7 linked regions of the Oryctolagus cuniculus genome follow. The main gene of each other region encodes a partner of the protein of the gene in region 5 in a complex. Links are inferred from orthologs where the notes say so. Each region holds a gene or a part of one and is shown on either strand. Other genes may lie near its edges.

What was found.
Region 1: BUD13 (region 5) and SNIP1 share a complex: the UniProt entries of both Homo sapiens proteins name them as parts of the minor spliceosome. The link is inferred for Oryctolagus cuniculus from reciprocal best matches to the Homo sapiens genes BUD13 and SNIP1.
Region 2: BUD13 (region 5) and ARMC7 share a complex: the UniProt entries of both Homo sapiens proteins name them as parts of the minor spliceosome. The link is inferred for Oryctolagus cuniculus from reciprocal best matches to the Homo sapiens genes BUD13 and ARMC7.
Region 3: BUD13 (region 5) and GPKOW share a complex: the UniProt entries of both Homo sapiens proteins name them as parts of the minor spliceosome. The link is inferred for Oryctolagus cuniculus from reciprocal best matches to the Homo sapiens genes BUD13 and GPKOW.
Region 4: BUD13 (region 5) and SNRPD3 share a complex: the UniProt entries of both Homo sapiens proteins name them as parts of the minor spliceosome. The link is inferred for Oryctolagus cuniculus from reciprocal best matches to the Homo sapiens genes BUD13 and SNRPD3.
Region 6: BUD13 (region 5) and CWC15 share a complex: the UniProt entries of both Homo sapiens proteins name them as parts of the minor spliceosome. The link is inferred for Oryctolagus cuniculus from reciprocal best matches to the Homo sapiens genes BUD13 and CWC15.
Region 7: BUD13 (region 5) and CRIPT share a complex: the UniProt entries of both Homo sapiens proteins name them as parts of the minor spliceosome. The link is inferred for Oryctolagus cuniculus from reciprocal best matches to the Homo sapiens genes BUD13 and CRIPT.

The regions. Positions count from the first base shown.
Region 1 is NC_091438.1:135,212,807-135,217,099, reverse strand, and holds the start of SNIP1 (smad nuclear-interacting protein 1), read right to left. Parts: upstream 2,801-4,293; 5' UTR 2,710-2,800; coding exon 2,486-2,709; intron 1,427-2,485; coding exon 1,324-1,426; intron 1-1,323. Other genes in the region: DNALI1 (axonemal dynein light intermediate polypeptide 1), read left to right, coding at 3,516-3,629, 4,016-4,161. UniProt on the Homo sapiens protein: Required for pre-mRNA splicing as component of the spliceosome. As a component of the minor spliceosome, involved in the splicing of U12-type introns in pre-mRNAs. Down-regulates NF-kappa-B signaling by competing with RELA for CREBBP/EP300 binding.
Region 2 is NC_091448.1:5,404,931-5,409,106, forward strand, and holds the start of ARMC7 (armadillo repeat-containing protein 7), read right to left. Parts: upstream 2,801-4,176; 5' UTR 2,605-2,800; coding exon 2,514-2,604; intron 2,028-2,513; coding exon 1,884-2,027; intron 520-1,883; coding exon of another isoform or gene 491-519; exon of another isoform or gene 1-490. UniProt on the Homo sapiens protein: As a component of the minor spliceosome, involved in the splicing of U12-type introns in pre-mRNAs.
Region 3 is NC_091453.1:34,252,582-34,256,872, forward strand, and holds the start of GPKOW (G-patch domain and KOW motifs-containing protein), read right to left. Parts: upstream 2,801-4,291; 5' UTR 2,767-2,800; coding exon 2,591-2,766; intron 1,818-2,590; coding exon 1,663-1,817; intron 1,558-1,662; coding exon 1,433-1,557; intron 1-1,432. UniProt on the Homo sapiens protein: RNA-binding protein involved in pre-mRNA splicing. As a component of the minor spliceosome, involved in the splicing of U12-type introns in pre-mRNAs.
Region 4 is NC_091452.1:31,112,355-31,116,558, forward strand, and holds the start of SNRPD3 (small nuclear ribonucleoprotein Sm D3), read right to left. Parts: upstream 2,801-4,204; 5' UTR 2,687-2,800; intron 949-2,686; 5' UTR 931-948; coding exon 805-930; intron 1-804. Other genes in the region: protein GUCD1, read left to right, coding at 2,916-3,126. UniProt on the Homo sapiens protein: Plays a role in pre-mRNA splicing as a core component of the spliceosomal U1, U2, U4 and U5 small nuclear ribonucleoproteins (snRNPs), the building blocks of the spliceosome.
Region 5 is NC_091432.1:108,946,649-108,950,656, forward strand, and holds the start of BUD13 (BUD13 homolog), read right to left. Parts: upstream 2,801-4,008; 5' UTR 2,770-2,800; intron 1-2,769. UniProt on the Homo sapiens protein: Involved in pre-mRNA splicing as component of the activated spliceosome. As a component of the minor spliceosome, involved in the splicing of U12-type introns in pre-mRNAs.
Region 6 is NC_091432.1:86,202,907-86,206,958, forward strand, and holds the start of CWC15 (spliceosome-associated protein CWC15 homolog), read right to left. Parts: upstream 2,801-4,052; 5' UTR 2,660-2,800; intron 1,627-2,659; 5' UTR 1,619-1,626; coding exon 1,488-1,618; intron 624-1,487; coding exon 511-623; intron 123-510; coding exon 34-122; intron 1-33. UniProt on the Homo sapiens protein: Involved in pre-mRNA splicing as component of the spliceosome. Component of the PRP19-CDC5L complex that forms an integral part of the spliceosome and is required for activating pre-mRNA splicing.
Region 7 is NC_091433.1:156,146,859-156,151,032, forward strand, and holds the start of CRIPT (cysteine-rich PDZ-binding protein), read right to left. Parts: upstream 2,801-4,174; 5' UTR 2,664-2,800; coding exon 2,648-2,663; intron 960-2,647; coding exon 894-959; intron 241-893; coding exon 186-240; intron 1-185. Other genes in the region: PIGF (phosphatidylinositol-glycan biosynthesis class F protein), read left to right, coding at 3,854-3,869. UniProt on the Homo sapiens protein: As a component of the minor spliceosome, involved in the splicing of U12-type introns in pre-mRNAs. Involved in the cytoskeletal anchoring of DLG4 in excitatory synapses.

The sequences.
Region 1 (4,293 bases), on a different chromosome or scaffold from region 5:
ACCACCTGCAAGCCAAAAAGCAGTTCCCTACCCCCACACAGGTGAAACTAAACCTGACACCTTATTTGACACCTTATTCTTCAAATTCTAGACTTCAGAATAACGAGAAAATAAGTTTCTAACATTTAAGCGACCTAGTCTGTATTTCGTTATGGCAGTCCTAGCAAACGAACACAGCCACTATGGAAAATAAACAATTTCTTTAAAAATTAAACATGCAACTACTATACTATACTATAGTATAATATATAGCATATATACTATATATGCTATACTATACTATATACTATACTCCTGGGCATTTATCCCAAAGAAATGAAATCTTATGTTCACATAAAACCTGTTCACAAATGTTTATACAGCAGTTTTATGTGTAAGAGTCAAAAACTGGAAACCTAGATGTTCTTTAATGGACAAACGGCTAAACTAATACTACAGATACCACTCAAGAAGAAGGAATGAACTGATCAATGCAACAACCTACATGCCAAAGAACTTTGCTGAGTGAAAAAAGCCAGTCCCAAAGGTTACATGGTGTGTGATGCCGCTTATGTAACTTTTTTTTTTTTTTGACAGGCAGAGTGGACAGTAAGAGAGACAGAGAGAAAGGTCTTCTTTTGCCGTTGGTTCACCCTCTAATGGCCGCTACACCGCGCTGATCCGAAAGCAGGAACCAGGTGCTTCTCCTGGTCTCCCATGCGGGTGCAGGGCCCAAGCACTTGGGCCATCCTCCACTGCACTCCCGGGCCACAGCAGAGAGCTGGCCTGGAAGAGGGGCAACCAGGACAGAATCCGGGGCCCTGACCGGGACTAGAACCCGGTGTACCGAGTGCCGCAGGCGGAGGATTAGCCAAGTGAGCCGTGACGCCGGCCTGTAACATTCTTGACACATGACAAAATTAAGCCAACAGATTAAAAGTTGCCAGGACTTATGGAAGGGAGAAGGTGGGAAAGAAGTGGGTGTGCTATAACAGGACAACATGCCATGTCCAGGTGGCAGGAAAAACGTTTTGTAACTTATGCCAATATTTTGATTGTGATATTGTGACTACACTTCTGTACCATGCTTCCATTGGGAGAAACACCTGTCTTTATTAAATCTGATCTAAATCAGTAATTATCTCAAAATAAAAAAGCTTAAGAAAACCAGCAGAAATTTACCAACAACCAAAACAAACTCACACACTCAGTTTTCAGAAAAGCCCGCTGCAGGTGTAGGTGCTGTCTCTGTGGGTGTGCTTCTGGCTGGCTGTTTCCCTGGCTGCGGTGGCAGGAAGAGGCGCTGGCCTAAGACCCCACCTCAACACACCCCAGCCCACTTACCTGCTTCACTTTGACTGCCGAGTGGTGAGGACTCCGACTTCTCTTGCTCCGAGGAGACTTGCTTCTTCTCCCCGAGGACTTGTTTTTCTTTTTGGCTGGAGACCTTTCAGGGCATGGTACACACAGGATTTTATCTCAGTTTCCCTTCCCCCACATAAGCTAGCTTCTGGTATGGGGCTTACCTACTAACACAAACACATTTGTGAAAGACTGCTGATCACACCAAAGGAGCCGGGGGGCTTCCCGTTCCTCACCTACTCTCCCGCCTACGCCGCTGCCTCGGAGCCTCGGATCCTCCTCACTCAGGGAACACGGCTCTCCATCCCCTACCCTTTGAAGACTCTCCTGTCCAGGTCTGTCCCTTGGCTGTTCGCCCACCACCATGCAGAAGTCACTCTCATCACCACAATTCACGGGAGGCACCTCCTCCCCGGCCCACCTCATCGCTACCATCCTCCTCCTCCTCCACGATCACGACTTCTAGCTCACGTTCCTTGCACGTTTCCTCGGCGGCCAGATCACTCAGGTCTCTGCTCAAACGGCACCTCTTTCAAAGAGTTCTATCCCCGCTTCCTTCCAGTCTCTCACGATCACCTTACTGGGCCGACCTAGCCCTGAGACCTGTTGCCATCGGAAACTGTTTTGTTTGCATGTTGGCAGTCTTCCTGGGGCTCAAGCTCGTCCAATTTCACGAAAGCCTCACCCGTGTGGCCCAGGTCCCTAGTGCACTCTTTAGTACCCTATAGGCATTCAGTAAAAGTACGCTGAACGATGAACAAACAGTGCACCTAGCAGATCGCTTATACTCGCGTGGGGTGGATAAGGGCGAAGACAACGCCCGCACTCCCTGCGCGGGCAGACGGGGGGAAAATCTTTCAACTTAACGGACGATGAGTGCTAGCCGCTGGGCCACGCGCTCCGCGAAGTGCTGGCGACACACGAAAGAGGGGGCGAGGCCCTGACCCACAGGCATCAGCTCGACCCCAGCTGTCACGCAAGTAACCAGCACCGGAGCACACACGCCTTTACCCGAGCGCGACCCGGCCACTCCCACCGCCTCCCGCTGCTGGGCTCGGCATTCAGAACCCACTTCTGATGCCGGCCCTGTGCTCTTTTCTCAATGAGTCCGACCCAAGGTCCACCCCGGCTGTTCTCTGCTTACCGGCTCTCTCCCCGGGCTCTGCTCCCGCGGTGGCCAGGGCGGCCCGGCTCGCCGGCCGGCGGGGACGGAGTAGCGCCGAGGTCCGGCCGGCGGGGGGCGGGCGGCTCGGCTTCCGGGCTGAGGCGCTCCTGCTTCACCACCACCGCCGCCGCCGCCGCCGCCACGTCCCCCTCCCGGTGCCTCCGCCGGCTCCTCCGCTCCCGCTCGCTCTTCACCTCTTTCATTCTGCGACTCGGGTCGGGCAAAAGAAAAGAGGTCCGTTGAGCCACTCTCTCCGAAGGAAATGACGAGCTTGACCTCTGGACTTCCGCTTCCGGGGTGTGAGCTCTCCCAGCAACCCTCGCGGCGGAGCGCTGAACATGTGACGGCGCCCCCCCCGTGGGCGGGGCTGCAGGGAGCCGGCCCGAAGGGCGGGAGTTTTAAGTTTGGAAAGCAAACTACTGGGGAAAAGCGAACCTCTCAAGTTAATTCTTCACCGCGTAACTACAGAGCATGTGGGCAACCTCAGTGTACAGCTGTAGGGGGCTCCTTAGCCAATCACTGGGCATTACGTAGCTATTAGTAACGTTATCACGAACCATATACCGCTTTGTGGAAAAAGCCCGGACCGACACGGTAGAGGAAGGCGACGAAACTGCGCGCCAACCGTGATTCCATTTGGCCTTGGAAATACAAAAATGCAATCATAGTAGCCCGTGGACAAATCCTGCTATGTCAGTTCGCCATTTAACCTTGAGGAATACTTTTTAAAGCCCTGGGGATTCCAGAGACCCTCTTTTGGGGAATGGTCTCCAGCCCTTCACTGAGGTGACAATCTTGGGGCTCAGCGAAGGGGGATCTACCCAATCACGCAAGTTGCGCGCTATACGCAGCGCAGGGACTCGAACCCCCGTCTCCCGGGCGACCCGGCTGGCAGCAAGATTAAGACGCCGAGTGCCGGGGCCGAGCGCCAGGGCTGCGCGGGACGCGTCCGCGCGCCGCGCCACGCCCACCCGAGGCCCCGCCCCGGCCGGGAGGGGGGGCGGTTTCCATGGTGACCGCAAACCAGGCCCCCATCGCCGCCATGATCCCCCCGGCCGACTCTCTGCTCAAGTACGACACCCCGGTGTTGGTGAGCCGGAACACGGAGAAACGGAGCCCCAAAGTGAGGACGGGCCTCGGGGGACCGGGCCAGGCAGATCCCCGCGGCGAGAGTCCGGAGTCCGGGGACGGGCCCTGGGACGGGCGGAGAGGGAGCGAGTGGTCCGGGTGGTCCAGATGTCGCTGGGTGTGAGCGCCGCAGGTTAGACCTGGTCGCGGGGAGACAGACGGTAGGGATTCCTCTCCCGGTAGTCGGGTTCAAGGACAGGTCAGGTCGCGATGTCCCCACCGCTACAGGTGGGAGCGCAGACGCCTGACCGCTTCCTCCAGAAACACTGGTCCGCGCATTGCGTTGGGACCAGGGACTCTTCACGGGCTGGGGGTAGGGGAGGGGGTGCGCAAGACCCGGAGGCGTCCAGGGGGCTGAAGGCCTGAATCGTCTCTTCCCAGGCTCGGCCACTGAAAGCCAGCCCCCAGCAGCCGGGACCCTCCAGTCCAATCCCACAGATAACCAAGACCAAGCTCCCCTCAACTTCCTGTGTCCCAGATCCTACAAAGCAGGCAGAAGAAATTTTGAATGCCATTCTGCCCCCAAGGTAAAGCGTGGGCGCAGAGGCTGGGAGAAGACCAGACTTTGGTAGTGTGGGGAGAGGCGTTCGGCCCCCGTGCCTGGCCAGGGTTTCCTCCCTTGCTGGCCTGGAGCCGAGTCCAGAGGGTGGCAGGAGACC
Region 2 (4,176 bases), on a different chromosome or scaffold from region 5:
GAGTTACAGAGAGAGAGAGAGAGAGAGAGCGATATCTTCCATCTGCTGGTTCACTCCCCAAATGGCCGCAATAGCTGGAATTGGGCCAATCAGGAGCCAGGAGCCAGGAACTTCTTCTGGGTCTCCCACATGGGTGCAGGGGCCCAAGCACTTGGGCGCTCCTCTGCTGCTTTCTTTCCAGGAGCATTAGCAGGGAGCTGGGTCAGAAGAGGAGCAGCCAGGACTCAAACCGGTGCCCGTAAGAGATGCTGACGCTGCAGGCAGAGACTTAGCATACTACACCACAGTGCTGGCCTCAAATAAATAAACTTATTTTTTAAGATTTATTTTATTTATTTGAAAGACAGAGTTACACAGAGAGGTAGAGACAGAGAGAGAGGTCTTCCGTCTGCTGGTTCACTCCCCAGATGGCCGCAATGGCTGGAGCTGCACCGATCTGAAGCCAGGAGCTTCTTCTGGGTTTCCCACGTGGGTGCAGGGGGGCCGTTTTCTACTGCTTTCCCAGGCCATAGCAGAGAGCTGGATTGGAAGTGGAACAGCCAGGACTAGAATCAACACCCATATGGGATGCTGGCGCTTCAGGCCAGGGCTTTAACCCACTGTGCCACAGCACTGGTCCCCCAAATAAGTAAATTTTTTTTTTTTTTAAAAAAGGGGCTGGCGCTGTGGTGCAGCAGGTTAAAGCCCTGGCCTGCAGCTCCAGCACCCCATATGGGCGCCAGTTCAAGTCCTGGCTGCTTCACTTCTGATCCAACTCCTTGCTGTGGCCTGGGAAAGCAATAGAAGATGGCCCAGGTCCTTGGGCCCCTGCACCCATGTGGGAGACCTGGAAGAAACTCCTGGCTTTGGATCAGCTCAGCTCTGGCTGCTGCGGTCATTTGGGGAGTGAGCCAGCGGATGGAAGACCTCTCTAACTCTTTCAAATAAATAAAATAAATCTTAAAAAAAAAGAAAAGAAAAAAAGGAAAGAAGGAAGGAAGAGAAGAGTACAGTAGAGTGGGGGGAAATATTTTTAAAAATTCATAGAATATGTGCATTATGAAAAAAATTTAATTTTTTTAATTGCACCAAAAACACCCTTATATTTTAACTCCACTTCCCATTAACTTGCTGAAATATCCTTGTATTCACTGGGCAGGCACTGTATGAGGGGTTCAAGTAGTCGGATCCGTGACACTCATGGGGGGGGACCTGGATAGAATTCCTGGCCCCCAGCTTTGGCCTGGACCAGCCCTGACTATTTCTGTCATTTGAGGAGTAAAACAGCAGATGGAAGCTCTGTCTGTCTCTCTGCCTCTCAAATTAATTAATTAATTACAAGTTCATGAAAAAGTCTCACAAAAAAACCTATGTATGGACTTCAAACATTTCTGCACGAGGACAGGGATGAGGGCGCAGTGGGCCAACTGGCGGGAGTCCTGCCTCAAGTCCCAGCTGCTCTGCTTCTGATCCAGCCGGGAAGGCAGTGCTGGGCCCTTGTTGCCCCTGTGGGGACCTGAGGGATGAAGGTCCCGGATCCTGGCCCTGGCCTGGCCTGGCCTAGACCTGGGAGAAGTTGTGGCCATTTGCAGAGCGAACCAGTGGGTGCAATCTCTCAATCTCTCTCTCTCTGCCTTTCAGTAAACGACAAAGACTTTAAAGTCTACATTATCGTCGCATTAAAGATCCACCTCCAAGCTGCTCCCTCCCATTCCCTGTCTGCGATCCCATCTCTAGGCAGAGGGTGGGGCCTGGGTGGGACCCCCGCACTCCCGCACATTAGCTGTGACCTGATGGCCTGTGGGGCGACAAGGGGGGCCCCTAAAGGCCGCTTTGCCGACGACTCCCTTGCAACCCTCCCATCGCGCGGCAGCCCCGCAGGTGTCGGGTCCGGCCCCCCTTACCCATAGCGAACTCCACCAGGGTCTCGTTCTCCTCCGACAGCGAGTCCAGGAACAAATCCGGGACCTGAAGCTGCCGCAGGTACTGGAAGTTGCTGGGGTCATAGGCGAAGTTGGCCAGGTTGGCGAGGACCTGCTCCTTGGCGTCTGCAACGGGAAAGCGACCCTGGAGCCGGTCCCGGGCGGCGGCCCCGCGCCGGCCCACCCGCGGCCTCCCCTCGGCTCGCGGCGCCCACCCGCGGCCCTCCCCTCGGCCCCCGCGCCGGCGCCCACCCGCGACCCTCCCCTCGGCTCGCGCCGGCCCACCCGCGGCCTCCCCTCGGCTCTCGGCGCCCACCCGCGGCCCTCCCCTCGGCTCTCGGCGCCCACCCGCGGCCTCCCCTCGGCTCTCCCCTCGGCGCCCACCCGCGGCCCTCCCCTCGGCTCGCGGCCCTCCCCTCAGCTCTCCCCTCGGCTCGCGGCGGCGCCCACCCGCGGCCTCCCCTCGGCTCTCCCCTCGGCTCGCGGCGGCGCCCACCCGCGGCTCTCCCCTCGGCGCCCACCCGCGGCTCTCCCCTCGGCTCGCGGCGCCCACCCGCGCCCTCCCCTCGGCTCTCCCCTCGGCTCGCGGCGGCGCCCACCCGCGGCTCTCACCTTTGCTCGCGGTCTCCTGGAATTCCGTGACGAGCGCCTGCAGGTATCCCAGCCGCCCGACGTGGGGGTCCACCTTGGGCTTCTGGGCCATGGCGGGGCGGCCGAGCGCTCCTGGGCCCGGTGGGACAAGGGCAGAAGGCAGCCTGGACAGCCGCGTGAGACCCTCACCGCAGCGGCCGGGGGGCTCAGGTCCTGCGAGAATCCGCAGCTCGAAACGGCAAGTGGGAGGCGGGACCCTCAGGATCCTGTCAGAGTCCCGGCCGGAAGCCGCGCTAGTCCCGCCCCCGGAGGGCGGAAGGGGCGGGGCGGGGAGAGACGGGGCGGGGCGAGGCGAGAAGGGGCGGGGCCGTCACGGAGCTCTTCGGCTCGCGTGCGCAATGAGCTCCGGGCCCGCGGGGACGCGCGCGGCAGACAGGTGCGCGGTCGGGTATGCGGCGAGGAGCCGGGGCGACCCAGGAGTGCCGCAGAATCTGGGGGTGCCCACATAGGGGGCTGTCGAGGCAGACGCACACTCCCCACACCCGCTGGCGGTCGCAGCCCAGCCTTCTCCCCTAGACGTCCCCCTGGAGCCTCAGCGTCGGCTCCCTGCGACCCTTCAGGATTTCAAGTCCGGCCGACTCCGCTCTGACCCCATTGGGGCCCTCCACCTCTGACCCGAAGTCCCGAGGACTGGGGTCCTGCCCTAAGCCTCTGACAGCTGGGTTGTCCCGGGCAGCACCGGAGGGCCCTGGAAGGAGCCTCAGCTCGCCCCTGTGGACCGCTGCAGCTTTCTGCGTTGTTGGGCCCGGGATCCTGAAGCCCTTTGGTCTGACTCCTCGGAGCTTCTCAGGAGAGAACAGCACCAGGAAAGGAGGCCTTGCCACATCCCCATGGTGCTTGGAGCTGTGAGCTCCTGGGGCCAAGGAATGTGGCTGCATCCCTGGGCCAAGTACAGCTGCGGTGGACGCAGGCTGCAGCCCTGCCCTATGCACACCTTCTTCTTCTTTAAAGGTTTATTTTATTTATTTGAAAGACAGAGTTAGAGAGAGAGGTAGAGACAGAGAGAGAGAGAGGTCTTCCATCTGCTGGTTCACTCCCCAGATGGCCGCAACGGCCGGAGCTGTGCCGATCCGAAGCCAGGAGCCAGGAGTTTCTTCTGGGTCTCCCGTGTGGGTGCAGGGGCCTAGGGACTTGGGCCATCTTCCTCTGCTTTCCCAGGCACATTAGCAGGGAGCTGGGTTGGAAGTGGAGGAGCTGGGACACGAACCGGCACCCACATGGGATGCCGACACTATAGGCCGTGGATTTAACCAGTTGTGCCACAGCGCCATTCTGACCTTGGCCTTGGTGCTTGGGTACCATAGCTGCCCTTTGTCCTTTGACTCTGTGGGGATCCTGGATGGCCTGGGAAAGTGTGTCTTAGCCAGGGGACTTCCCGCCTGTTGCTGGACAGAGCAGCGAAGGCCTGGGGACCAGGAGCCTGGGGCTTGAGGGCACACGGAGGTGAGCTCCTCCCTTCTCTGGCCAGGAACTGCTTTCCCAGGAAAACACCCGCAGGTTTTGGTGCCCGATGGGCAACCCAGCCTCCCCCAGTGTCTGGTCTTATCCCTTCCTAAGGCCTCAGGGCCTGCTTGGAGAACTCCCAATCCTTGGTTTTGTGCAGAACTTGCTGCCCCTCTCTGCC
Region 3 (4,291 bases), on a different chromosome or scaffold from region 5:
GCAGAGAGGACAGTAAGAGCAAAGGCTCTGAGGCCAAACAAAACTCGGTGTGTGTGAAGAGTATTATGAAAATCAACATGACTGGAACAGGGACATGGGGGCAGAGGAGCATGGGTAAGGGGTCAATCAGGAGAGCTGGGTGCAGGAGGCAGACAACCTGCAGGCAGGTGGAGGTCACATGAGGGGCCAGCGAGAAAGTCACTGCAGTCGTCCAGATGTGCGGTGCTGGTGGTGATGAGAAGTGAAATTCTGGATGCATTTAGAAAAAAGGCAAAGACGGCGTTGACAGATCATACGTGGGGGTATGACAGAGAGAGGGAGGGGCAAAGATGACGGCAAGGTTTGGAGCTGAGGGAGAGGAAGGACTATGGAAGTGTGATCAATTGACAGGTGGAAGGCTGCTGGAGGGGGCTTGTCAGAGGGAAAATGAGAAACAAGGCCAGAGCTGGAACAGGATGAAGAGTAAATGGAGGGTCTTTGTTTGTTTTTTAATGAAAGACACCAGAGCACAAATGAAGGTGGATGAGTTCACTTCTAATCACCCCAGTTAAAGCCAGGATGGTCGATGCTCTGTGGCCATAGGAGAAGTAGGCCCTGAGGAAGCAGTGCAAAATACTTATGAATGAACAGGTGAGAAGTCGAGTCCAAGATATGGACAGACTTGCTTACTTCCATGGCCCTGCCGCTACCCTTTCCTGTGGTCGCTTCCCGTCGTTACTCCTTCAATCCTTTCATTCACTCATTCCAGACACACAAGTTGTCTCACTAACAGACACACCACACAGCCTTCCTGCCATGGCCTGCTCGGGCAGCTGCTACCATTAGGAATACTCACCCTGCTCTTGCCTCTCTCGCTAAACCCTACCTCGCCTTCTCTCACGCCACTTGGATCTGAGTCCTTACCATCTCTGGTCTAGACTGCTGGGCTCCCTGCTTCTACCTTCACTTACTAGTCTGTTGTGTTCACAGTAGATTCTGTTGAATCATAAGTCGCATCCTTTCTCTGCCTAGGGCCCACCCATGGCTATCATTTCATTCAGGGTAAAAGCCAAAGTTCTCATCATGACCCACAAAGCCCTGCCTGGTCTCGCCGCACCCCCTCCACTGCCACCTGACTTCTCTTACTAATTCCAGTCCAGCCGCGTTGGTCTCCTTGGTGTTTGTCAAACACTCCAGGCAGTGTCCACCCTCATGGCTATTATATTTCCTCTTCCCTCTGCCTCTCACCCCATTCAGACAATCCTAGGATCCAACTTCATATTCCAATATCTGGATTCATGTGTTAATGTTCCCAAAAAGGCTGGAAGGAGGAAGAGCTAGGCAGTAGGCCTCCAGTGTACACACAGACTTTCTTTGCTGTGTGTAAGAAGGCATGCATGGCAGACAGGGCAAGGAGAAACCAAGGGAGCAAGGGGGTAAGGGGCCAACTCACAGTTTCAGCTGAGTGTTCGCTGTCTACCCCTTCCTTGTTGGAGGTGTATCCTTTCTGGATCATGGGGATAGTGAGCATGGAGTCGGCATTTGCATTCTTTCTTTCTTCCAGGGACTTCTCGGTTTCTAAGGAAGAATGGGAGGGAGCAATGAGGTCCCACCCCATGTATCTTCCACCTTCTTCCTTGTCTTTCTTCACTGGAGCAGGGTGGGGAGAGGGGGCCCACTTACCCTCAATCAGTTCCTTCACAGCCTGGGACAGCACCTCATCCATCAAGGTCTTGGTGTCTGTGGATAGCCCAGAGGGCTGGACCAGGGGCTGCCTGTGATAGCCATTCTGAATCAAGGGAATGACAGGTTCCTTGGGGACCTCTGAGGGCTTCACACTGATGTGGACAAAGAAAGGTAAGGTGAGGAGAGAAGCAGGGTCCGTGGGTTCCAGCTACACCCCCCCTATGCAGAGAAACACAAGAGCCAAGCCCCCTCCTAGCTCCATGGACCATGCCTCTGATTGCACGTCATTGTCCCTCCAGCCCTTAAATGACAGTATCTTCCAGGAATCATTGCCAGGCCGTCTGTTCATCCCAAGAACTACAGATGACCATTTGCAGCCAGACTCTTCCCAGCTCCAGAACAGCCTCCTAGGCGGTTGCTTCTCTTCTGCGAGTCCCTCCCTCAGGCACTTCAGCCTCTTCTTTCCTAAAGATGCTGATGCGGCCTCCCTCAACCTGAATCTGCAGCTCCATCTCGTTCCCCGTATTAGAGTCGCCCCCATTCACTTTAGCTGAGACAACAGGGTCCTGTAATTATTCCCTCTTTCCCACTTATCTGAACGCACACACCAGAGTGTCCCAGCATCATAAAGGTATTCCCTGTCATGAATGTGAGGGCATTTCAAAAAGTCCATGGAAATGAATACTGAAATAATGCGCATTTCCCACGAACTTTCTGAAGTATCCTTATACATCTTCTCAGTCCACACGGCCATGAAAAGCAACTTCCCTACTTCTCCCACAAGCTCCTGCCTTCTCTCCTCCACGGATTTCCTGAGGCCGTGGTTCAGGCTTTCCAGGCCACTGTCATCAAAGCAAACTACTCGAGTCCTCCCGCTCGCACCCACGGCACCGATTTACAAGGGGCGAAAGACCCGGCGCTTCACCTTTGTAGCTGCCTCCCTTCCACGGTCTTCAAGAAATCCTTCTCCTCTGGGGCGGACTCTGCGCCATCACTTAGGGCCACCAGCCGCCTCCGAGAGGACGTACGAGTAAAGGCGAATGAAATTGGGGCAGTAGAAGGTGCAGTCGGCTGCAAAACACCATCTTCGGCGTCTGCCATCTTGCCCCAGTTCCCAGGCTGGTGCGCTGCTTGCTGGGAAGTTTAGTTTGGGTTCAATTCGCTAGCGGCAGTCAGACAAGCGCAAGAACTACATTTCCCAAAAAGCATTGCGGCGTCGGCCGACGAAACCAAACAACTAGCCGTAGGAAGTTATTGTAGCGCGTCTGAATTTCACAGGAATGCGCCTGCGCCAAGTATACCGGGAACTGTAGTTCCGCCAAGAGGCGGTAGCGGTAGAAGGTAGATTCCTTCTTCCCAGGAGTTCGTTTCTTCTTGTTTTAGAGAATGGTCTTGAAAACAGGTATTCCATTATTCTAACAATCTCATGGCTATGTTTCCAGTTTAGAAACCCTGGGCATCTTGGGATGGGCCCTGAACTCCCAAAGGAACAGCTACAGTAACTTTCAAAACAGAGCAATAAATTTTTAAAAAATCTTTATTCAGCAATACTTTTAGACTTACATGTCGCGAAGTAATACTGTTCTTTTTTTTTAAAAAAAGATTTATTTATTTGAAAGTCAGAGTTACACAGAGAGAGGAGAGGCAGAGAGAGAGAGAGAGAGAGAGAGAGAGAGAGGTCTTCCATCCAATTGTTCACTCCCCAGATGGCCACAATGGCCAGAGCTGTGCCGATCCGAAGCCAGGAGCCAGGAGCCTCTTCCCAGTCTCCCACGTGGGTGCAGGGACCCAAGGACTTGGGCCATCTTCTACTGCTTTCCCGGGCCATACCAGAGAGCTACACAGGAAGTGGAGCAGCCAGGTCTCGAACCGGTGCTCATATGGGATGCCGGCACTTCAGGCCAGGGCGTTAACCCACTGCACCACAGTGCCAGCCCCAAGTAGTGTTCTTTTATATCTTTTATCCAGATACTCTTAAGCTTTTTATATAACAATAGTATAATTATCAAAATCAGAATGATGCAATACTATTAGCTGTAGACAATTTTCTGTTCCAGAATTCAGAATTAAACCTAAGATCACATATTGCAATATAATTGCAATGCCTCCTTTCTCTTCTTCAGTCTTGTGGCAGCTTCTCAGTCTTTCTTGACTTCTAACTCTTGCAAAGTACAGTTCATTTTTTTGTAGAACCTTCCTCAGATAGGTTTGTCTGATGATTTCTCATTGTTGGACTGAGGTTATGAATGTTTGGCAAAAAATGATGCAGAAATGATGTGCCCTTCTAACTATATCATACTAGGGGATTTGTGATGTTGATATGTCTTATTACAAATGAAGTGAGCATGGATCACATGGTGCTATAGTTTGAATATTTATCTCTCTTCACTCAGGAGTTTAGTCCTGAAAGGATTTTTTTAATGATGTATTTATTTGTTTTTAAAAGGATTTATTTATTTTTTAAATTTTTTTTTTTACAGTGAGACAGGGAGAATCAGAGAGAGCTCTTCCATCTGCTGATTGACTCCCCAGATGGTCTCAATGGCTGGGGTTGGGCCAGGCTGAAGCCAGGAGGCTGGAACTCCATCTGGGCCTCCCATGTTGGTGGCAGGGGCATAAGCACTCA
Region 4 (4,204 bases), on a different chromosome or scaffold from region 5:
TTTACCTGACTATGTAAAAAGCAGTGCTTTGAGAAAGACACCACGTTAGAAAGTTGCTCTATCATTTATTAGCAGAGCAATATTCAGTAGATGAGTCCTTTAACCACATTCTCCCTCTTTCCTGGATGCCGAGACTATCACCAAACTCATTTACCTCACTAGGCAGCTGCAGTAATCAAACATGACCCCTCTTCTAAGAAAAAGAGCACACAGGTTTCTGCTCACTGTGTGGGGTGGTGGGGGTGGGAGGGTAATGGCCCTGAACCTGAAGAATTCTGCTGAAGGTGGTAACACCATTTCTCTCAAACAGGCCCCAAAACATGGGAGAGGCTGGCACTGTGGTGTAGCAGGGGAAGCCACTGCCTGCAACACTGGAATCCCATACGGGCACCGGTTCAAGTCCCAGCTACTTCACTTCTGAGCCTGCTAATGCACCTGGGAAAGCAGTAGAAGATGGCCCAAGTGCTTGGGTCCCTGTACGTGGGAGTCCTGGGAGAAGCTCCCGGCTCCCAGTTTCAGATCAGCCCAGATCCAACCACTGTGGCCATTTGGGGGAGTGAACCAGTAGATGGAAGATCTCTCCCTCTCTTTCTCTGCCTTTCAAATAAATAATAAATCTTTAAAATGGGGAGTTGGGAGGGGACAATTATGGGATGGAGAAGGCAAAGGCCAAAGTTAACTATTCCAAATCTCCATACGGTTCTTTGCCCCAGTACTGTCTCTTGCTCAGGCCCACAGTCCCGGAGCCCGCGGCAGCGCCTGCCACACGTCGGGCACAATGGAGACGCCGCCAGCCTCCCGTACCTGGCAGTTCATGTTGTCTTCTGCCTCGATGAGCTTGCCCCGATACACCTCGCCGGTGTTGGTCTCGCAGGTCACGATGTGGCCCTCGGCCTCGTGCAGGACTTTGATCGGCACACCGATGGACATCTCGGCAGGAGGAGAGTGCTGTGGTGGGAGACACAGCAGTGAGCCCAGCCTTCAGAGCCAGAGGCCGCGTGTGGTGCGCACCATGTCTCCCCAAGGCCTGGACCCCATAAAACCTAACACCGGTGCCAAAGCTGCATTTTCTACACAAGAGCAGCTCAGCTCCTGGCTTGGAGGAGCCTTCCTGGCAAATACACACAATATGAAGAGGGGAGAGACAGCGTGCTGGACAGAAGGAAAGCTCACGGAAAGGAAAAGAATCTCCCACCTACCTCCCTACTCCTCACCTGCTCCCATGTCCCTTTACCTAGAGACAGAGTAAGGGACACAGATACAGATACAGAGAGAGAGAGAGAGAGATCTTCCATCCGCTGGGCCACTCCCCAAATGGCTGCAAAGCCTGGAACTGCATCTGGGTCTCCCTATGTGGGTGGCAAGGGGCTCAAACCTCAGGCCATTATCTGCTGCCTCCCAGGAGCACTGGCAGGGAGTTGGATAGGAAATGGAGCAGCTGAGAATCAGCCTGGCACTCTCACGTGGGTGCCAGCGTCACAGGTGGCAGCTTAACCAGCTGCCCCACAACACTGGCCCCTCATGTCCCTTTTCCTTGGCCAAGATAACCAGTGACCAATGTGGTCTGTGTGTTGGGAGAGAGGCGCTCGGAACGTCCATGCTGAGCAACACATCTGCCTATCCACAGCTGTGGGTGACTGCATCCTGAAAACCACGATGGGGTGCAGCGGGTACACCGGCATCCCACAGGGGCACTGGTTCAAGTCCCGGCTGTCTACTGCCACTCCAGATCTCTGCTGATAGCCTGGGAAAGCAGGAGAGGATGGGCCAAATGCTTGGGCCCCTGAACCTGTGGGAGACCGGGGAGAAGATCCTGACTCTGGCCTGGCCCCCAGCTCCAGCCGTTGCAGTCATTTGAGGGAGTGAACCAGGGGATGGAAGATCTCTCTCTCTGCCTGCCCCCGACCCCGACTGTGTAACTCTGCCTTTCAGATAAATGAATCTTACAAACAAACCAACCAACCAGAGGACCCAGACATATCCAGGAGAGGAGGCTGTGTTTTTATTTCAGCCTCTGACTTTCCATTCGCTTTACTGTTAAAGCTAAAGAGAAAACAGCAAAGCGGTCACAAAGGGACAACGTGTAGGAAACTGCTTATCTTGGAGGAAAAACACAAGGATCTGCCGACGTAGTTGAGAGACAAGCAGTGGAGTTTTTATTGAGCCAGGTAAGGACGCAAGGCTGGCACGAAATAAGGGAGAACACGACAGGGCAGCCAGGCTCGCTCCGTGAGGATCCCCAGCCCTCCGCCGCCAGAGCTGGAATGTTACGTTTCAGAGAGCACGGAACCAGCGCGGGATCTCAAGGAAGGAACGACCCAATGGAAAGGTATCAGCGTTTACAGGCCAAATCGAACACACAGTTCAGAAGCAGAGGAACTTCGGAAAACGCTTTTGCAATGGCGTGGAAAGCACGAGGGGCTGCATCAGCGCCGGAAAAGGGGGCTGGAGGCCAAGGATGACGCCGATGGAGTTCAGGGACGAGGCTAAGCAGCCAGAAACGAGGGGGAGGTAACGAACTCACTCCCCAGGCTCAGGCGAGGCGACGCGGGTGTCTGGGTGTCCCGGCTTCCCGCTTCCTTCCCTCCCGGAGCCCTGCGCGGTTCCTTGCAGCGCGTCCTGCCCCAGCCCCCGATCCCTCACGAGCGCCTAGGCCTCCCCTTTCCCGTCCCCGGCCCCTACTCACCGGCTCGAGCCCCTTCTTCCTCCTCTTCGGTGCTGCGACAACAACTGCGAGAGAGAAGGCGTGAGCGGGGCGAATGGCGGGCCTTGCACTCCCAGAATACCACGCGCTCCCAGAATGCCGCGCGCGGGGACCGTCCCAGAGCGCGAGCTCGTCTCCGCTTCCTCCTTACTCCGCCGGCTGGGAAACGCGGACCCAGGTACGATAGTTCCGGCGCCGGAAGAGAGGGCTGATGACAGGGCCCGGGGGCCGCCGGAAGCCCCGACGCGGGGGCCCGAAACGGGAGAGGGGGGCTTGCGCTTCCAAGCACCCCTCACAAAAGACTGGCTGGACGACAAGGAGGGGATCTACAGCCTGGGTCCTCGGATCCGGGGCAGCAGGAAGTGGGAATGAGGGCTGGGACCTCCCCTCACAATTTAATCTTTGGAACCCGGCACTGCCAGGTAACGGGAACTCTCAGAGAGGGGAGGTGTCGTGTCTGGACAGAGAAACTGAGGTACCAAGTGGAGCAGGGGCCGGCTCAGCACTAAAGAGATCAGAGTACGGTTGCCTGGACCCTAGGCAATCACAGGGCCGGAGCCGGCTTACAGCTGAAGCCGGCAAAGGGGTGGGGCCTGGCAGAGGCGGGGCTTGCTGAGGGAAAGAGCCCCTGGGGAGCCAGTGTTTGCGCTGCGCCGAGCCCTCGGGGAGGGGCTCAGAAGGGGCGGAGCTTCCGGGGGACCGAGCGAAGGAAGGGCCCGCGCGTCTGCGCGAGGATTCGGTAAGGGGGCGGAGCTACCAGAAACCGAGACTGTGAATGGCCAGGCCGGGCTTAAATCATGAGGCTGGAAGCCTCTAGGAATCGAAGTCTGGGACTGGGAAGGGGCGGGGATTAGGGGAGGGGCGGGGCCTCCGGATCCAAGACCTGGAGTGGCTGGGGCGGGGCTTGGGGCTGCCCGGCCGCCGCCTCCGCTTCTCCCCGCTGTGGCGGTGGCGGCGGCGGCTACGGCGTTCGACACGCATTGGCTGCGCTCCTGCGCCAGCTGAAGCCGAAGCTGCAGCCCGCAGCGGGCCGGGGCCATGGGCGCCCCGTGCTGCGCGGGTCATGAGGACGGAGGCGGAGGCAGCGGGGCCGCCGCTCGAGCCGGGTCAGTGCCTCTCTCTGAGGGCCCAGCCCTCAGCCCCGGGGAATGAGGGGGACCCCGCCCTAGCGCGGAGCAGGGTCCATCCGCGCGCGTCCCTGGCCGTCTCTGCCCAGGCTGTGGAGCTGTAGCGAAATCATGGCCAGGTGGACACCCTTGCCTCGGGCTCTTCTCCCTTCCCCCAGCCTCTGGTCAGCTGGGGTTTCCTGATACTAACAGGGCAGGGACCCCAGTCAGCTGTGCTGGCGGTCACGTGGGAGGGCCCCGGGTGGAGAGGGTGCCAACTACGCAAAAGTCCTCCTGTAGCCGCCTTGGGAGAGTCCGCTCTCTTGGGGGAACTGAACCTGGGTGGGCAGGGACCTGGGTGGGCCCTTCCCTTAGCTTGCAGGACGTAGCTAGT
Region 5 (4,008 bases):
TTCAAGGCCTTCTAAGGATACTACAATCTTTTTTTTTTTTCCTTCTGCTAAACGATCTTTTTTCCGTTCCCTCAGACTATACCCATTACATCAGCAGGGCTGTTCCAGCTTACTGTGGAACTCTTCTCTGCTGACATATTAAATTATATGCCAAGCACACTCCATTCCCTGTCCCCAAGGCCACTGTCCTCTTTAATTTCTTCTTTGATTTTTTTTAAACTTGAGAGGCAGAGAGAGAACGAGAGAGCGAGCTTTTATCCAGTGGCGTTCACTCCCCAACTGCCCAAAATGGCCAGGATTGGGCCATGCCAAAGCCAGGAACTCGGGACTCAATCTGGGTCTCCCACATATAGCAAGGACCCAATTACTGGAGCTATGATCATTGCCACACAGGTCTACATTAGCAGAAAGCTGGAGCCAGAAGCCAAAGCCAGGTGCTAAACCCAGGTACTCAGATATCAGGCAGAGATGTCTTTAACCGGCATTTTAACTGGGCTAAACGTCTGCTCCCTTTTCTGCATTTAAAGGCTGTTCCTCTAGAGGAAGCCTTCATTCCTCGCTTCATTTAAATGACATTACAGGGGGGCTGTCGCTGTGGCTTAGTGGATTAAGCTTCCACTTGCAGCACTGGTTTGTGTCCCAGCTGCTCCTCTCTGTTGGTGGCCAGGGAAGGCAGTGGAAGATATCCAGAGTTCTTGGTCCCAACACCTGCATGGGAGACCCAGAAGAAGCCCCTGGCTCTTGCCTTCAGATTGGCCCAGCTCCAGCTGTTGCAGCCATTTCGGGAGTGAACCAGTGGATGGAAGACTGACCTCTCTGTCTCTCCCTCTCTCTGTCTATAACTTTGCCACTCAAATAAATAAATAAATAAATAAAACCTCCCAGGTGCTCCTGGCCCTGGCTCCTGACTACAGCTTCCTAATAATGTACTTCCTGGTGATGACTCAAGTGATTGGATCCCTGTCATTCATGTGGGAGAACTGGACTGACTTCCCAGCTCCCAACTTCAAACCACCCTAGTCCTGGCTGATGGGGACATTTGGGGAGTGAACTAGCAGGTGGGAGCACCCTTTCTCACTCTCCCTCCCTCTCTCTGGCTGTCTCTCCTCCCTCTCAAGTGACACTAACTTTTTAAAAAAGGATTGTTGTTTAAGAATACACAAACACACACACACACTACTAACAAATACTATCTGAGATGAAATCTGAAATTTCCACAGCCCTCCAGTTTGTTCCCTTCAAATAGAAACTACAAAACTTCTGCAGAATGTTGATGTGTTGCAAATAGATTAGTCAGGCTAAACCACAATGGGGTAAGAAGGAGTAATAAAAAGGAGGGCAAACAGGGACTGTCTGAACTTGTACCTAATAGTATGGGTGCATTTTGATTACATTCCTAGGTTTTGGTTGAGTCATTGTTTTGTACCATGGAGAGAAATATTTCTGACCACTGTTACACATAATAATGAACTATTCTCAAGCAGTTTTCTAAAGAAATTACATAGAGAAAATCATTTCTTTCCCAGAATGAGAAATTCTGTTAAGTTTTGTTAGGTTTACAAAGAATTCAACGGCACTTATCAGCCAGTTTTTAGCACTGAGAGAAGCTGTTTGGGATTTACTGAGAATTCATTCACACACAAAATTTTGTAAGGTATTGTTTAAAAACTTTAATAAAATGAGGTTCCCGCTTGGTTGTCTATCACTACAATCTCTCTCTGATTATCGCTTAAATACCTTAAAAAAAGTTAATACCTTCAAGCACCAGACATCACTCTTTATACTTGAAAATACAGGACATCCTCAAGCAAGTCAATAGTCATTTCACAGAACTGGAATCTTCATGGCACCATCACACTTGCAGCTGTTAACTTTTCCCAAGGCGTTAAGTTTTTATGTTTTTTTAAAGATTTTATTTATTTGAAAGGTAGGGTTAGACACACACAAACACACACAAAGAGAAAGTGTCTTCCATCCGATGGTTCACTCCCTAAATGGCCGCAATGGCCAGAGCTGGGCGGATCTGAAGCCAGGAGCCAGGAGCTTCTTCCAGATCTCCCACATGGGTGCAGGGGCCCAGACACTTGGGCCATCCTCCACTGCTTTCCCAGGTGCATTAGCAGGCAGCTGGATTGGAAGTGGAGCAGCCAATACTCAAACCAGCACTCATATGGGATTCTGGCGCTGCAGGCAGTAGCTTAACCCATAGGCCACAACACCAGCACCCAGTTTTATCTTTAAAGGCCTTCATACATTAGCCTCAAACTACTTTCTCATCATCTTTTAATACTAAACTGATGCATTTACTGTCTCTAAAAAATGACTTGCACTATCATGTTTTCATATCTTTGCTTATATCACTCTGTCAAGAATTGCCTCTTTCCCATTTTTCTCCCCACATATGAACAGACACTTCTGATCAATCCTTGCTAACACTGGCAGTCTTCCCTTCTCTCACTCCTCTAGTCAGCCAAAGGTTTTCTGTCCCTGCTCACAATCTTTGTGGTCTTTGCCCAGATGACCCTATTCAACACTTAGTGAAACAAAGCTACAAATATTCTCTTTTTCATTGACTTGTAATATTTTGCAACTAGAAAAACCCTGTAAAATAATTAGAATAATAGGTTTCCAAGTTTTTTTTAATCACCAAAGATACTTTTGTTTTTAATATATTCCCCCGACACCTGCTTGTCACTCTTAGGCCTTTATGTTAAAAGTCTGCAGACAAAATTTTTAAAAACTTTGTGAACGGCCGGCGCCACGGCTCACTAGGCTAATCCTCCAAGTAGCAGCACCAGCACACCGGGTTCTAGTCCCAGTCGGGGCGCCGGATTCTTTCCCGGTTGCCCCTCTTCCAAGCCAACTCTCTGCTATGGCCCGGGAAGGCAGTGGAGGATGGCCCAAGTGCTTGGGCCCTGCATCCCATGGGAGATCAGGATAAGCACCTGGCTCCTGCCTTCAGATCAGCGCGGTATGCCGGTTGCAGTGCACCAGCCGTGGCGGCCATTGGAGGGTGAACCAACGGCAAAAGGAAGACCTTTCTCTCTCTCTCTCTCTCTCTCTCTCTCACTATCCACTCTGTCTGTCCAAAAAAAAAAAAAAAAAAAAAAACCTTTGTGAACTAAGTTATGTTTATGAATAAACAAAATTTACTTGAAAAACAAAAAAGGATAAATTAAAGATTTATTGTAGGGGCCCGCATCATGATACAGCGGGTTAAAGTCCTGGCCTGAAGCACGAGCATCCCATATGGGCACCAGTTCTAGTCCCGGCTGCTCCTCTTCCAATCCAGCTCTCTGCTATGGCCTGGGAAAGCAGTAGAAGATGGCCCAAGTCCTTGGGCCCCATGTACAAATGTGGGAGACCCGGAAGAAGCTCCTGGCTTTGGATCGGTGCAGCTCTGGCCCTTGCACCAGCGAATAGAAGAACTCTCTCTCTGTCTCTACCGTTCTCTCTGTAACTATTTGAAATAAATAATAAAAAGTTTAAAAAGTCTAAAAAAAAAAAAAAGGACTTATTGTAGATCGAAGTTGCTCAAACTCAGATCCAACAGAGAAAGGATACAACTTCAGTTAACAGCAAAGATAACTGAAATTTTATTTAACCTGGGTAGTTTAATCATGAATACAAAAGCTATAATTATTCTCAGCTTTAGAAAAGCAAAACAGGCCCAGTGTTGGGGCATAGAGGGTAAAGCCACCTTTAATGCTGGCACCCCATATGGGGATTTGTTTGAGACCCAGCTGCTCCACTTCCGATCCAGCTCCCTGCTGCTTGTCTAGGAAAGGCAGCCCAGGAGTGCTTATGCCCTTGCTACCCACTGCTCGACTTCTGGTCCAGCTCCTGGCAAATGTGCCTGGGAAGGCAGTGAAAGATGGCCCAGGTGTTTGGGCACCTGCACTCATATGGGTGACCTGGAAGAAGCTGCTGGCTCCGGCCTTCAGCCTGCCCAGCCCTAGCCATTGTGGCCATATAGGGAGGGACCCAGCAGCTGGAAGTTCTCTCTCT
Region 6 (4,052 bases), about 23 Mb from region 5:
AGATAAGAGGTGAAAGTAGGAAATGAAACATACGTCTGTTAAAGGATCATCTGCGTCAAGGTTGGCAGCAGGAATCTGGTCTAACCGAGGCTTCTTGGATACTGAAGAGGAAGTTGTATGTTCTGGGGGTAGGCAAACATCACCTAGTTACTGACACACGTTTCTTACGATTCAGGGACTCATGGGCACAAAACAATCACACTAAAAGCATCCCAGCAGCAGGGCTCATACAGTGGCTAGCAGATAAGCATTTGGATAAATATTTATCGAATGACTTAATGAAAGCACTGATTTTATACAGGAACTGCGGCCTCAGGAAATTCAGGGAATAGTTTATACATGTTGGGAACCTAAACCTGATCATCACTTCTAGGCTAGTTAAGAAAGCACTGTAATTCACACTAATACTTAAAAGCAAACAAACAGAAATATTAACAGTTTCTAATTAACACATAAAAAAATATGGAGAACATAATTTTATGAGACAAACGTTTGGGATAGCGTTAGTACCCCGGGTTGGACGATCCCTATTTTTCTCTCTGGCAGCAGCTCTCTCTCTCTCTTCCAGCTCTCTCCTGAAGTCCCGGTTACGAACCTCTTCAGGGGCATCCTGAGTAGTTTGCCTAAATTATAAACCAATCAGGGTCAAAAGGTTACTAGAAAGAAAAAAATACATGGCTGTAGCAATGAAATATAATTCATCACAGCAACTTTGTCCTTTAAGCCTAAGAGGAAAGTTGTCAGAATTATGACACAATCTGAAGGTTGAACTGCATACTTTCCCATAATACAGCTACAGATTTATTATAATGTCCTTAATTTTTTGAACTATGCACTTGGCTCAGTGGTTATGGTGTTGTTTGGGACACTCCATAAAGGAGTGTCTGGGTTTGAGACTCATCTTTATTCTCCATTCCAGCTTCCCAGTAATGTGAACTCTGGAAGGCAGAAGGTGATGGTTCAAGTACTCAGGTCCCTGTCATCTACCACATGGGAGACACAGATTGAGTTCTTGGTTCCTGGCTTAAGTATGGCCCAGCCCTGACAGTTGCAGGCGTTTGGGGAGTGAACCAGCAGATGGGGGATCTCTTTCACTCCGCTCTTCAAATAAAATAAATAATTTTTTCCCTAAAAGCAGGTATTTAATTGTTGTATTATTAGAAATTCAGGGCCTGTTACAGTAACGCTTTCAATGTCATGTTGACTAATGCTGGTAAGTGCATAGTTTCTCTGAGATAATCCACTAGCTACCATTCCATCTCCATATGGAAACTCCTGGATAATAAGAATTTGGGCTGCAGGAAGGGGATAGAACTTTAAAATCACAGAGTGTAATTTTGATGTTAAACTTTCTATTGTATTCTATTCCTCTGAAAATGGTAACTGAAGTGATACAATTCAAACCTACCCCTACTACACATCATGGCCATGCTTTTCAACAGATTAGGCCTATTTCATGAGCAAGAAAAAGCTGCGAGTCTTTATACCTATATTTTATCTTTGTATGGGAAGGTAAGTCTCGGCTGGAATACTGCTTTGAGAGTTGGCTCAGATCACCTTCCCCTTTTCCTCTTCCACCTCTTGCAGGTTCAAAAGTTGGTCTGGCTGCTGTCGTCATCTTTGACGCTATGGGGGAAAACAAAGTTGTTTCTAATGCGACATACTTTCACTGTGTAAGGTACTAAACAAATATCCATCCTTGTGAAATAATCTCAAAACTTGCTTCAATAACCCTCCCAAACCAAAGTTCTGAAGGAAACCAATTATGAGGTGCAAGGGCAGCTTTTATCTCACACCAAAAATTCTGTGGTGAAGACCTGAGTTTCTGCTCCTGTTCCCCTTCTGTGTGGCCTTGGACAAGTGACCAATCTTTCATTTATAGAATGGGGCTATTCCTCAAAGAATTATGAGATCCCACATGTCAAAGCCCTAAAAGTTCTCAGTTTAAACCTTAGTTTAAATGTCCTTAAGGAAAAGACAAAAAGAAAGAAAATTTAAAAATCACTGACAAACTCTTAAGTGTCCCAGAGGTAAGTGTGCTGAAAATCAGTGGGAAACATTCTCCAACAATCTTGTGGATTCGATTTTCTCCTGGGACAGTCCTCACAACATACACGTCAGGCTACAATTTAAGAAATGCTCCAATGACAGAAACCTAATCCTCAAAGGAATCTGATAACGGAAAGAATACTGCCCAGCTGATGGGGCTACTAAGAGCCCAAAAGCCCGTTAACGTCAGAAAAGCAAGTGTCTGGGGAGGGTGCAGAAGACGGCAGGATTATTTTGTATGCTTCCCTCGGTTTCCAAAAGGCCGTGAAAGCCTGCGTAAGGAGAGAGAGAAGCAGGTTTTCTAGGGTCGGGGGCGCCGCCGCTTCCCAAAAGCTTCAGGTTGATCACTCCGGCCGCCCGGGAGCCCGCCTTTCGCCTGGCTGGCCTGCTTCAAGCCCCGGCTTAAAGCCACAGAGGGCAGAGCTTCGTTCCGCGCTGGAGGCCGGGGGCTGCGGGCGCGCCCGGCCGGCACCGGGCTCCACCGCCCGTCCGCGGCTCCCGGTCTTTCCCGCCGGCGCTCGGCACTCGGCCAACGCCAACTCTGACCCCGACTGCCGTCTCCCACGCCACCCGGATAAGAAACACAAACTGCTCTCCCCGTGCCGCTCACCTAGGAAGACGTCCGATACTACACTCACGGAAAATCATACAGACGCCATTGTGCTTGATAGCTCCCAGAAACCTCTGCGCCCAGGGCCAAAGCCCAAGACCCGGAAGCAAAACCCGAGCATTTTTAACCGCCCCAAAGAGGTGGCGGCAACGACCAATCCTCAGAGGCCAAAGTGGAAGTCGGTGTGACGACATCAAGGGGCGGGGCTGAAACGGCCCAGGGGGCGGGCATTTGAAATCAGTGCTTTAGAGCAGACCTTGAACATCATCTTACGCTTTCGAGAGCCAGTTACTTAATGTCTCTTCCGTCTTTCCCTTCCCCAACCCCCCCTCCCAGACTCCTTCATTCCGGCACTGCGTGGATGGAAAACCCGGTGTAGCCGACACCACATCCATGGCTAGCGGGAGAGAGCGTGCAAAGGGATTTCACCAAACAGTTTAAATCCAACGATTCTGTTTCCATCCTTTCTCCTGAGCTAGAGCCAACAAGCCTAGAAAACTAGGCTGCGGAAACACTAGTGTTTTCATTTAATTGGATATGAAGAAAGAACAAATATGTGCGGGGGCAACCACGATCTTTATAAAGGTACCATTCCTGCAAAAATATTAGACTTCACAGCAAAGGTTGTATTCGTATTGTTTGCTAAGTTTTTTTTTTTTTTTTCCCTTTAAAATGCCCTTAAGTTCTGTGAGAGGGGAGATGTCAGCATTAGCGTTTACGACCTTGAACGTTTAGAACGGTGGGCCCAACCGCCAGTGGCACGGGGTGGAATTATTAAGATGGCTACTGATGCATTAGGGGAGGTTGTAGTAAGACCAGGAAAAGGCAAAAAGTAAATCACCAGTCGTTTTTCTTTCTCCCCTGAGAAACAAGCACTCTGAGAGCAGGGATCTTGTTTGTTTAGTCCTTCCTGGTAGAGTGTCACACATGGTAGTATCCTGCGCAGTATTTGTTAAACCAGTGAAAATTTAAGTTTTCCCAATTTAGTGTCAAAATTGAACATTGAAGGATTTTTCCTGAAAATTCTTTCTTTGAAACTTTTAAGTGAAACCAATGTAGAAAAAGCGCCTTCCTCTGTAAGGTTCAAGTTGGAAAATTTTGTGTGTGTTTGCTTTTTCTTTCAAATATATTCCTCCCCAAGTCCTGCACATCAGTAAAGGATGCAGCCATCACACTAGTTACTCAAACCAAAAACCCCAGGGCACCTACTTAACAGTTGCTTTTGCTTCACTATTCACATCCTGTTCCTTCGCAAGTCTTGTCAAAATTTACCCTAAATTCCATTCCACAATCATGATCTCATCAAAACCACCATCATCTTCCACCTGGATAGTGATTAATCATAGCTAGCATTCCTCACTTGCATAAAACCCCCTGCACTTAGATTAAAGAC
Region 7 (4,174 bases), on a different chromosome or scaffold from region 5:
CTCCAGAGGCTGACACAGTGAGAAGGAACAGTGCTAACCAGCAGGTTACACCAGATCCCTGGCTCCCTCTGCCAGGACCTCTCATGCTTTGAGCACAATGCAATGATGAACAGTAAATTCACTCCCGCATGCTTAGTCTCAGGAGTGGGAACTTACACGACGGCTCCACAGAGGCTCTTACCCACCTTGCTTTTTTTGAAGTCAAAGCTTTATTTTCATTCAGCTTTCTTCCACCACTTTCTGTATCAAAATATTTCAGTAAGTTATTTCTACATACTTAACATCACACCTACTAATTCAGTTAGAAGTTCATCCTTTGACCTCCCACCATTAGAATAGCCTATATCAAAATTTTTAAATTCTCGTGAAATAGCTAAGTTTTTGAGATGCTACTTAGAAAATATTAGGGAAACAATGACGTTTATGTGAGATGCAGTTTTCTTACTCAGACAGCAAGCAGTACTTTAGGGGTGAGTCTACATTTACTCCATCCACTATAAAATCTAGAAGTTACTACTTTGGTGTCACAGACTCTGAGTCCAGTTCAACTTTCGTTTCCTTCCTGGTGAAAACAGCTTAAGTAATTTTTTTTTTATAAAGAAGATAAAAACTAGGTGAGGAGAGGAGAAATTAAATTCGGACTCTACACTATGACACACTCATCACTTGAAAATATTTAGTAGGTTTGCTATCTCCTGCTTACTATGTTAGGAACCTGTGCATGTAACTGGGAGAACTAGAGAGAAGGCATTAAATCACTGGGGGACCCCGTATATTCTTTATAGACAAGATACTCTGAGAATACAACATCTCACTTTACAAATAAATGTAAAAATATATTATTCACAGGTGGTATTTAATTCAATTTCTGTTTTCCAAAAGAAAAAAAATACCTGTGGTATTTCTTGCACCATCCTTCCATGTATCCGGAGTGATAACAGTGCCAAGTTTCTTTTCACCTGTTGTGATAAAATAGTAAAAGGGGCATTATAACTTGCTAGTTAATAAATACACCACATGGTGCCAAGGCTCCCAATGCCATCAACAGTCATATTACAGTGGGAGCCTGTTAATGCTGGGGTAGAGGCTAGTGAACTGAGATTCAAGATTTTTTTTAAAAAAATTTTATTTTATTTGTTTGAAATGCAGGTTGGGGAGGCAGGTGGTTTCCCATTCACTGGTTGGGAGTGGAACTGGGACTCACATCCAAGGATGCAAAACCCAGACACTCTAATCTGGGATACAAGCATCCCAAGTGACAGACTAACACAAATTACATGGGAGGCCAAAGTTAGAGATTTAAGAACCACACCTAAGAGATGAGACATTTGGGCCAGCACATAATATAAAGATATTTAATTCAAACTTACTCAAATACACACACAAGTCCAAAAACCACTGCAAGTACAAGATGAAGCAGAGTTACAGACAGTCAGTGTCAAGTAAGATCATGCACTTTCTGAAGGGATGGACAGGTCAGCCTATGATCACACTGCACAACTCTGAATATACTGAAAACCAGTGAATTGTACACTTAAAGTGCATGAATTGCATGGCATGTGAATTACGTCTTAATGGTTATTTTCTTAAAGCTTAATGTAAGGCAACAATGGTATGTGGTGTAGTATCCAGAAGGAGGGAGGCATTAGTTGCACTCTGGCCCACATATGGAGCAGAGTTTAATTCTGTGTCACGCAGTAGTGAGTTATGACAGAGGACACACTAGGGACCTTTGTACCAGGCATTACCTATGTCATTTCATGTAATTCTCAAAAAAACCCAAGGCTTATGTTGCGTTCTCATTTTCAGATGGGAAATCTGGGAACACCACGCAGCTTTGCCATGGGTCTGTGTGTCCAGACTGTATCCATCTACCACGGGGATGCCCACAGGTCATGTTCATTAGACCATAATCAGGATTAAGAGGAGTGGAACTCTTGTCACAGAAGAGCCAGAGGGAGAGGATTTGGGAACTTGACAGCTGCTTTTAAACACATAAACAGCTTGGTAGGTCCACAGGGTGTATTTTCTACAAATCTTAAGAGTTTGAATTAAAAACACTGGGTGGCAACCACAGAGGAAAATACTTTCCTCAAGCCAGCAATGCCTCCTTGCAGAGACTTCTTCGTAGGTCGTGGGGGTCTCCAGCCTCCCCCACCCAGATACTGTTTCTTTCATAGGATGGGATGCATTCAGAATAAGCAACGAAGCCAATTTAGTAAGGCACGTCCTAAATAACCGAATGGGGCATACTTACAGCACTAAAAAAAAGTATTCGTTGTTTATCTTAAATTAAAATTCAATTGGAGGTCTGGAATTGCTAGATCTCGCAACTCCACACGCTACAGAAATGACTTTTAAGGTCCATTTTAAGCCTGACGGAGGCGGTCGAGAAGCCGTAACTGATGAGGCGAGAGCCAGAAGGCGGCGACGGCAATGGGCAAAAAGGTGCAGAACTAAGGCCATTCTGATGACAAAATATACGGGATTACACAGTCGATGAGGGGCAGGAAGGGTCACAGGGCAAGGGTGGGAGAACACAGGCTAGACTTAGAGACCTGTGGGAAAAGGAAAAACCAAGTTCCCAGGAGAGTCCGAGTAAGTTCTCCCAGCCTCCTCTCCCCACACAAGCGGCCCCTTAACTCACATTTTTCGCACACCATCTTTCCGCCGACGATTCGCCCTCCTCGCCCCAGAATCAGCCGCAGCTTGAAAACATCAACACTACAGCCTGGGAAGAATTTTCCTTCCGGGCTACGTCAATCTACTTCCGGCCCCTAATCCTCCGCTCCCGCCAATCCTACGCCTGGAAAGCCGCGGGAGGCATGAACGCCAGCGGGTAGGCGGGGCTGCCTCGTTTGTCCGCCCATCCCCTTCTGCGATTGGCTGTGCGACCGTGGGTCTCCGCCCCGCGCGCTTGCGCCTGCGCGTGGGCTGGGGCAGCCCGTTGTGCCTTGATGGTGGGAGGCAGTAGTTCCCTTTCCCTTCGCGGGCGGGAGAGTTAGGTAAGCCCCGTTGGCTGCGTTCTCCTCTGGGAGGTGTGGAAGGCGCCTCCGCCAACTGCCCGAGTGGTCGCGAGCTTGCGCGCCCCCGCCGGCCCTCGGAGGGCCTCCTTCCGCGTGACCCAGGGGCTCCCCTGCTGGACCGCTCCTCTTTCTCAGGCGCGTTCCTGCCCGCGTCCCTCAGCTTTCGCCGGCTGACGGGCCGAGCCCCAGTGACCCGGTGTGGGGTGGGGCTGCGGATGAAGTCCGCGACCCGGGCGGCGGCTGCCCCGGGAGGGCTCGCCGGCGCCCTGCTGGCCGGCGTGGGCGGGCCGAGATCGCCGGCGCCGTGGCGGTGGCCCCGCGAAGGCGCGCCCGGCAGGTGTCCTCGTGGGCCCGCCGAGAAGGGCAGGCGCTTCACCTGCCCGGGTTCCTTCGTTCTTTGAGCAGGCGCTGGAGTGTGGCTTCTGCTGCTGGGATTCCGAGGGTGGCCCAGAGAAAGTAAGGGGGATCTGTTGAGAGAATGGATTTCTGTTCCCCCTACCCGACCCGCAGGCAGCTGAGAGTCTGAGAAACTTTGTCCCTGCTTGTCGCCCGTTCTCTACCGGATCCCTCGTGTGTCCCTTTATGTCTGTAGCGCTGGGGAGCTTGGAACAAGTCTCCTGACTTGTTTTTCTTGTTTAATCAGTAAACTACTTGCCTTTGATAAATGACCGCGGGAATCAAATAAGAGCTATTCGCCAGTGAGCTCCATCCTCTCCCCACCCACATATGCTTTTATGTATTTTTTAGGGCTGTTTCTGTTTGGTGGAATATTCACAGTGTAACACGTTGACTATTTAATAAAGTCTGTACTCCACACTGCCAATACAATGCATAAGCTCTCAGGTAACTAAATACATGAGACAGTAAAATTTTTTCTGCCTCCATTCATGTTTTATTCTTGATTGGAATCTAGCACCTGTAACAGACCTAGTCATTTTGGAAATGCTAGAGTCTAGGGATCCCTTAGTTTAGGGTAATGCTCTTTGAGTTCTTTGGTTGCCTAGGCTGCCACTTGAATATTCCAGTGTGTCCTTGGCATTTACTAGATGTGAAACGCGATGTTAGATGAGGAGGGACACCAACATTTTAGCCAAAGTGTATTCGTGAGGTTTCTAGAAAGCATAGGTTGCATTTCCAACAGAGGCAGA